Bombyx mori: one gene and its partner. The main gene of each other region encodes a partner of the protein of the gene in region 2 in a complex. Links are inferred from orthologs where the notes say so. Each region holds a gene or a part of one and is shown on either strand. Other genes may lie near its edges.

The links.
Region 1: regulator of gene activity (region 2) and CCR4-NOT transcription complex subunit 11 share a complex: the UniProt entries of both Homo sapiens proteins name them as parts of the CCR4-NOT complex. The link is inferred for Bombyx mori from reciprocal best matches to the Homo sapiens genes CNOT2 and CNOT11.

Annotation. Positions count from the first base shown.
Region 1 is NC_085125.1:1,942,859-1,947,168, forward strand, and holds the start of CCR4-NOT transcription complex subunit 11, read right to left. Parts: upstream 3,006-4,310; 5' UTR 2,507-3,005; coding exon 2,463-2,506; intron 2,387-2,462; coding exon 2,295-2,386; intron 1,468-2,294; coding exon 1,244-1,467; intron 1,056-1,243; coding exon 895-1,055; intron 1-894. UniProt on the Homo sapiens protein: Component of the CCR4-NOT complex which is one of the major cellular mRNA deadenylases and is linked to various cellular processes including bulk mRNA degradation, miRNA-mediated repression, translational repression during translational initiation and general transcription regulation.
Region 2 is NC_085113.1:7,420,166-7,424,780, forward strand, and holds the start of regulator of gene activity, read right to left. Parts: upstream 2,810-4,615; 5' UTR 2,451-2,809; coding exon 2,400-2,450; intron 518-2,399; coding exon 236-517; intron 1-235. UniProt on the Homo sapiens protein: Component of the CCR4-NOT complex which is one of the major cellular mRNA deadenylases and is linked to various cellular processes including bulk mRNA degradation, miRNA-mediated repression, translational repression during translational initiation and general transcription regulation.

The DNA of each region.
Region 1 (4,310 bases), on a different chromosome or scaffold from region 2:
AGCCAATAGACGTCTACAACGTAAATGCCGCCACCATCCTTGAGGCATTAGTTGTAAGGTCTCAGTTTTAATAGTACAACGGCTGCCCGGCCCTTCAAACCGAAATGCATTACTACTTCACGGCAGAAATAAGCAGGGCGGTGGTACCTACCCGTACAGACACATTAGACGTCCTACCGCCAGTAAATTGATTGTTTGTATTAAGTAATAAAATCGTGTTATAATGCTCCTATATTTTTAATGAAGCGGTCGGTACCACCATGTAATATTTTGAATTGAAAGTTCATGAGGTTGTAGAGGGCGAAAATCAACTTGTGATTACTAATAGGTTCCAGTAACACCTTAACTGGGCCAAGGCTCATGCAATAAAATAAAAACCTTTATCAGTCATAACTCAGTCAACTTTTTTTACTTTAAAATCGGCCTTAGCTCATAAGCAATACAATCCCAGAACGTTTTTATAGAAAACTGAATTTACATTACAATATCTCCAGATTTTACTAGGTTTAAATTAATCATGTCGTTTCCTTGCATTAAAACTATATAATCTCAAAACTTACTAATTTTATAGGAGAGTGTTTTAAAGGTTTATAAACATGTAATATTTTTAATACTAATCATCTTCGCAACTTTAATTTTTTATTTTTTACCAGTTACATTATCTGTCTTTTAAAGTAAGATAAAATTATGTATTAATTTAGTTAATAGTAGGCAAAACATAGGTAAACAACAAAAAATAAAAAACTACGCCCTTTTGACAGTATTTATGAGAAAAATACTGGTGATACCAAATGATTCCGCATATTAACTCAATTTCGAGTATTTTTGGAAATTGTACACTTTTAATGCGAAAAGACGATGTGTCTATATTTCATAATATATGTTAGGTCTTACCCATCACTAAGCGGTATCAATGCAGAACAAGTGGCCCGGGCCACAGCACTGGTGTCAGTCAAACGTTCGGCCACAATCGCCTGCAGCGGTGAGTAATCAAACTCCAGGTCCTTAGGAGATACTTCTGTCATCATTACTTGTTTTGCTGATTTTTTCATAACCTACAAATTCGGTAATAACTGATCATTTTTTTTGGTTACATCAGTAAATAGTAAAAACGAGTCTTAGTCTACTGTAAAATTCACGCATTGTCGCTTAGTCACACTTGCCTTCTAAGCGTCGATATATAGGATTTTATTTTAAATAAATTTAATATCATATATATCCAAAATCATAAAGTGAAACTCACATCTTTAATGTTTACAGGCAAGAATCCATGCAGCTGTCCTATAAACAGTCTCTCCTGTGGAGCTAGAGGCAGAAGACCCAGCTTCCCTTCTAGGAGATGCAAGAACAATGGGCTGAATGGGTTTTCTCCCTTGTAGAAGTCATATAGAAGAGCCAGTGCAACAACACGCTGCCCAGGGAGTGAAAGATCTCCGCCCGTAATCAGCGATGACAGGAGCAGACTTACTGAAATTAAATTTATATTCATATATAACTTTAATGATTGTTATTAAATAGATATCAATACAAAAGTTGTGTATGGATACTATCATTTGAAAATGAAGTATAATCCAGCAAACTCTAAATTGGGGATTTCCAAAAAGAGAAATTTATACATTTTATATTCCTGTTATGGTTTGTGAATATTTTCAACAACACATCTCAGGTGATATACTTCAAATTTTACCTGGGTAAGCATGTAACAGAGATGATAAATACCACAATAAGGTTCTGCTACCTAGTTGATGAGCTTTGAAATGTTTGGAGATGAAACAAGCTATCATTCACTAACAACCACAATTAATTACCATTATTTATTTATTTATTTATAACTTCTTATACTAGAAAGTATAAAGGCGGACTTAATGCCATAGGCATTCTCTAACAGTCTACCTTAGGGGAGTGCAGAGATGAAGCTTGGTAGGTGTATTATACAGCTGTACGGTGAAATGGACCACTTATTATCAACATTACATCTTATTAGGGTTTCTTAGTAGGGATATTGCTAATTTACAGTACAACAGTAGTTAACAGACACTAGTCTTGTACACAGATACCCATATCTTTAGGTTGATTTGAAAATGCTAATACATTATCATCCTGAATTTACCACCCTATCATTATTTTCATGTAAGCTACCTTGAAAGGACAAATCCTGTAAGTGTGGTGTGTAAACGTAATGTTGATAAGCACACGGCTAAACTTAAATTCCCAGGAATTTTAATCTTTAAATTTAAGTCAAGTCTCATAGTCCTGCCAGTGGAATTGATATTTAATAAAAATATATTACTCACGATTAAAATGATCGGTCTTCGGGAACTTTTTTTGAACTTGAACACATATTGAATCTAAGCCCTGCGAATCGACTGTCTGTTCGGAAAATAAACTAAAAAGAAAAAATAAATAACAATAACAACATAAACAACTTTGCAAGTTTAATTTCTCGTGGTGTTTTTACTTACTCGAGTATGTATTTACTGTTTTCATTAATCAGATGTTGAGACATTTTATTTATTTAACTAATACTTATCAAATAAATTTATACGCTTAGACGAAACACAAAATAATGAAAATAGAAGTTTTTTAGTAAAAGTCAAAACACAATTCGTTAACAATACAAAATTGCTTCATTAAGAAACAATTATACAAATTTTACAAGTTTATTTATAATTGGAGAATTAGGTACTGTTTGGTACTGTTGTATGTACACTTGATATATCATTTACGAAAACAGTATAACCTTACAAACTTACAACTTCTTTTAGGGCTTGTAGTTCATAAATAGTGTAGGTGTAGTTATATAGTATATTCTGTATATTGAAGGCATTAGCTGTTTAAATGTCTTATCTGTGGCATTAAGCTTAGCTCTACTGTAAGGATGTATAGCTCCTGAGTGAGTGATATAAAAGATATATATCACTCACACCGATAAAATGTATCACTAACACTGGCTCCAAATTATCAGTAACTCATTTATAGCTCACTAGATCACTAGCTCATGAAAGTATCGTGAATTGATGAGCGAACGAAAGAAAAAGGAATGAGTGAGATAGATGCATCGTGAGGCTGGCTGACGAGAATGACCGTTCACTTCACGCTAATTTCATTTCGACGTATTGGGTTGTCAAGGAAAAATGTACATTATTTCTCTAAGAGCAAAGCTTAACATAACTCTTGTATTTTTGAAACTAAATTTATACTTGCTTTATTTTCTTACACAAAAAGCTAGCCATTAATTTGCGAAGTTAATACATATTATGAATAACGCGATGCTTTATCAAAAAATATATTTTAAAAAGTCTCTTAATGTGTCTAGTTCTATGGTAAGCTGCATGTTGTAAATATTTAATGTTTTTTTAATACTTAGTTGGGTGGACGAGCTCACAGCCCACCTGGTGTTAAGTGGTTACTGGAGCCCATAAACATCTACAACGTAAATGCGCCACCCACCTTGAGATATAAGTTCTAAGGTCTCAGTATAGTTACAACGGCTGCCCCACCCTTCAAACCAAAACGCTGTACTGCTTCACGGCAGAAATACGCAGGGTCGTACCTACCCGTGCGAACTCACAAGAGGTCCTACCATCAATAAGTTTAATCATAAAACAGTGTAAATAAACTATATTTTCTATTACTTAGTGTATGAAAGGCCCTGACAGTTATATAATGAACTGACCATTGTAAATATTCCAATACAAAGTGAGTGATATATGTATACTGAGCTAAATAATCTAGGCTAAGAAATGAATTAATTGAGAGACCAATCTATTGAATTGAATCACTGGTCTAGTGAGCTAAATTAGTGATTTGTATCTTTAGCGCGAAATGATATGTATCTACCTTTTCAGCTCAGTGATACATTTTGCGCATGACTATTCTAGTTATTCTTCTTTTTCTTGTCTAGTTCCATTTTTTAAACTTGAAAGGCAAAGGTATCGTACGATAAAGCCTAATCTTTTATATATATATTTATATTTTTATGAAAAATGATTATGTTGTGAAATGAAATGAAGTTGATTAGTTTGAAACACTAATCAATTGGCACGAAAATAAATGAAATGAGATGAAATGATACGGGATGAAATATAATCTCAGTAAATGGTGGTTATTTATTAAAACTTTTTCAGTGGACTTTTTGGAGGATTCAGAGTAGCCACGTCCAGCGGCTTTTTGTTTAATATTCCCACTTTTGTGCACTTTCACAGGTACCAAACAGTTAATAAACCACCGCTATTAGCTTTTAGTTTAGTGTTTAATTTTTAACTTAGCTTATAATGATCCTACCGTAGATAAAGTGTAAACTTTAGAGA
Region 2 (4,615 bases):
TTGTCACTTAGTCACGTTTGCCTTTCAAGTGTCTATATACTCTTTGACCTCCTTAGGTTTCTAACAGATGGTGGTGTAAGTTAGCTGACATGATGATTTACTTCAAGGTATGTCTGAATTTAAAGTCTAAGCATTTCATTTATTTAAGTAAAGTTCATTGATATTTATATTTATCAGCAGAAAACACTAATTTGATTTTTAGCCATATACACAATTAATATTTTAAAATACTTACCATTGAATTAGAATTAGCTTGAGATAAAGTTGTTGGCATTGTAACCCTTCGGTCTGCAAAAGCTCGTTGACCAAACAACGTAGCTCTAGATGCCATTGATGGGGGAGCTCCGCCTGGCATTGCAGTTGAATTACGGCCAGGCGACAAGGCGCCCCCAAAAGTTGGTGTCACATGTCCTGAGACACTACCAACAAGACCTGAGCTCACTCTGCCTCCAACGCCACCAACTCCGCCACTAGCTAGGCTTCGAGGCACTTGTTGAAAATTCAAGTTTGCCATAACCTAAAAAAATAAGCCTTTTTACAATATGATATAATTATTGTAGGTAACATTGCCCTAAGCACGTCATTACGGATCTCCCGATCTATAAACGGTGCTTTTAGGTACCTTAAGCACCGGCCACCGTCCTCTCTGAACCTGCACAACCCACTGCTTGTGGCGAAGGGCTCAACGAGTAAATTAACCAATAAACACAGCCCACTGAGTTTCTAGTTGGATCTTCTCAGTGGAAGCTGAAATATCTCCCTCTGCTAGCCTCTCAAGGCTATCAGCATAGGTAGGGGAAAAGGATAACATCTTTATGCTACATTTACCGGAAACCTGACTTGTGCCTAGTGAATGCTTAGATTTAATTTAGTTTTGATCTAAAACATAAAACGTTTCTTAAGCAAAAATACCCATCTACTTGGTAAAAGTTCCTCTTAATAATATATAATAGATAAATGACTACACACAATGGACTATAATCATGTAGTGGACATATTTAATAATTTTACAGAGGTATTGTCAAGGAAGTGTGAGACGAAGTTGATGTAGAATAAAATTTATTCAGATTCATGCCTATTTCATTTACAATTTCAAATATTTAAATCGTGTTCCAATTTTATAAGCAGATATAATTTTTATTGCTCTTACATTATCAGTATCTGGTTCGTATTGTGATTTTAGAGTTCATTTATAAGAATAATTTTCACAATTTAAGTATTTTGCACAAGTAATTACAGTATGTTGACACAATGGTTATATTAAACGGAAAAGCAGTTAAATTCTGTGCCAATATGTGCAGAACCTCTGAATACAATGTTTGTTGTAAATCAGAAAATTTGTTATCAAGTTTGAGACAAAAGAGATCAATTTTGTGTGACTCAACTCTATGGAATATGGGCTATAAATATATAATATAAATAAAACTAATATTTAAATCATGGAGTAATCGGTTGTAAAGTAGTTGGAAATGTGAAAGAGAAAGTAGAAGGAATACTTAACTATATATGGAATTGCATGCTGCTTATTATTAATTTAAACTTTGGTTAAGTGTATGCATGACGTATGAGAGAGATGATAGTTGAAGAGCATCACAAAACTGTTTTCAGTTGAGCATATTATACAGTAGAGAGGATATGGAGAATGTATTAAAGATCAGTAAATGGCTTAGTTGCCCCTGTCAAACAATGGCGACAATTTTTGTTGTGATGTTGTTGGGCTCACTTTGAGAACGTTGTCAATATTTACCTATTATCAGTCCTTGTTCAACTATTTTATAAAGAATAAGAATGGTTCATAATCGCGTATACTCTGCCAAGATAAATATTTCCGCTTCGATGTAATAAACAAGATTTGTTGACTGTCCAATTTTGATGTTTTTTGTGCATTCAAAATTTTAAACACCAATATAAATGGTACATAAAACTGTCTTCGCGTAAAACGCTGCTATAAAACACTGTAAACTTGATACATCTTTACGTCACTGATAAATGTTTTAAAATTTTCATACGATTTCGCTGAACGCCACATTACCCTAAACAACAGGCGGCCATATTGTTAAAAGGTTGAAGAAGCAGACGGAAATTATCAAAAAGCTTCAAAACCAGGCCGTATGAATTAGTTTGTTAAAAAATAAAAATAGTTTTGACAATTTTATTAAATAGTTTAAATAGTATAAATCGTTTTGTCTCTTTATTATAGATCTGTCATTTAAAATTTATACTAATATTTTTAAGAATTTACAATAAAATTATTTAATTTACATTACTATACTACCCATACTAGTGCAATCCGTAGCATCGTTACTGTACATAAACCTGTAATACTGTACATAATACTGTGCTTAAACGTGTATTTGAGAGTTTTATAAGACTCTACAGCATAACTATAAGTAGCAAACCTGATCTTCATGAGTTTGGCTACTGTGCCTCGTAGAACTTCGTTTCTTCATTTCTTATCTTTGTTCAGAATTACTTTAAAAAATCTCTAAATTAGGATTAAAACAATTATTTTTTAACTTAAAGCCTTATTTTTTAAATAATCTAAACTTCACAACCATTATTTGAAAATTATAAACTACCCACCTCCCTTGTCTAAAACTAAACTATTCCTGCAAAGTGCCGGAAGCTTGGTGGATCATTCATCTTTCCTAATGATTCCGATAGGTGAACAGATGAATGGATCGGACGGTCTCATTATAATAAAACCCAACCAAAAAATATTTTAAACATAACTGAAAACGAGTTCGAGTCAGACATCTATTATCTTCCCTGAGGTGTTTTCTGTATCACTGTGAATACAACATTTCCGGCAGATTGGATGGCGTCTGAAAGCAATCTACGCACACATTACGTAGACTACAATCTAATGAAATTTAACTAGGTATATATAGCAAATATTTGATTCTTCGTCCTTTTCTAAATCTTACATTAGAAAATGAAAATTTTAAACAAGGAAAATGTATACGGTGTATAAGATTCAGATCTTCACGAATACTTGGATTTAGAAGCGATTCGTTAATATTTGAAGAGAACATCAGAACCTTTCTTTGAGGAAGCTGCACGGCGTAATAGCCCTCTTATCGTAGCCGCCGTAAATTACATTCCCGACCTATATGATGACAACGAACAATCGTCGTTGCCTTATTCGATCCAGGCCTTCGGCCTTCTTCAACCCAGTCTCAAGTACCCTCCACTAGCGTCGTAAAATCGAAGCTTAACTGAGAGTACTGAACCCCTATGACACTCACTGAGTTTCTCATTGAATCTTGATTCTTAACTGGTAGTAGATTCAGCGAAGCCAGAGCAGTGTTAACAATTTCTTTCAGGTAGAGGTCTGTGAGCTCGCCCACCACTGGCGTTGGTACAGATGGGTAGAAAATCGTTAAAAATACATTTTACCTAGTTCAAATTCACAATTTACAACAGCAGTTAAATTGTGGATTTCATTTCAAAACATTAACGAAAATATTTAAGGATCGGGTGCACATTGCTGTTATTGCAGATTTAACAAAGTTTCGACAACGGTCAGAAGACGGTCCTTCGGTGTGCTTAGTGCAAGTTTTTTAACTTCTCAATTGCGTAAAAGATCTCAAATTTGTATGTAGTGGAAACAGTGCCTCTGGCGGCAAACATGGGAACGCTATCTGATTCCAAAAATTTTATAATAGCTAAAAAAAGTTTATTATATCTTATTTACATAAATAGAACAAAATCAAAAAGTTTTTCTGCGTGCTTTATGACTAGCGACCAGAATACGGCCTCTGCCGACCTAGTTCTTATATCCTTTTCACTTACCGACATCGAGCAAAGAAGGATCGAGATGTATATATTGATTCATATTCTGAATATTTCAGAAAAAATTGTCTATGTCTGATCAATACTTTTTGGCAACACTAAGATCATATGATTGTTCAATAAAGAAGCACGTCTGATAGGCGTAGACTTCTTTCCCCGAGCCAGTCATTAATTTTCTGGCTCTATATCGGCCGTTTTTCGTGTTAGTGGTGTTAAAAATAAGCAGCAGCCATGGCGCTCAGCGATGCAGATGTTCAGAAACAGGTATTTGTTATAAACAAAACTGATTTATCTACAAAATCAAGTATTTTAAGGATTATATGTCACGATCATTGATCGGGATGTGCCATTGTAATTTCGACAACTCATAAGACTGCCTCGACTGGACTTCATGTTTTTGAGCATTATACTCCGTATTTTTGATCAGAATGTTTATATTTTTCAATTCAGATCAAGCACATGATGGCCTTCATCGAACAAGAGGCCAACGAAAAGGCCGAAGAAATCGATGCGAAGGCCGAGGAGGAGTTCAACATCGAAAAGGGCCGTCTTGTCCAGCAGCAACGTCTCAAGATTATGGAATACTATGAAAAGAAGGAGAAGCAGGTTGAACTTCAGAAGAAGATGTAGGTTTCCGTAAAACTAACATACAACCTTATGCATACTCAAAGAACATACGAACGAACAATCATGTGACCAAGCAGTATTGATTACGACTATTACGATTTCTCAAATTGAACATTCAATATGTATTAGGTGTTACAATAGAAAAGTCACAAAATTTCAAACAGAATAGAATTATCAAATAATCTAAAAAATT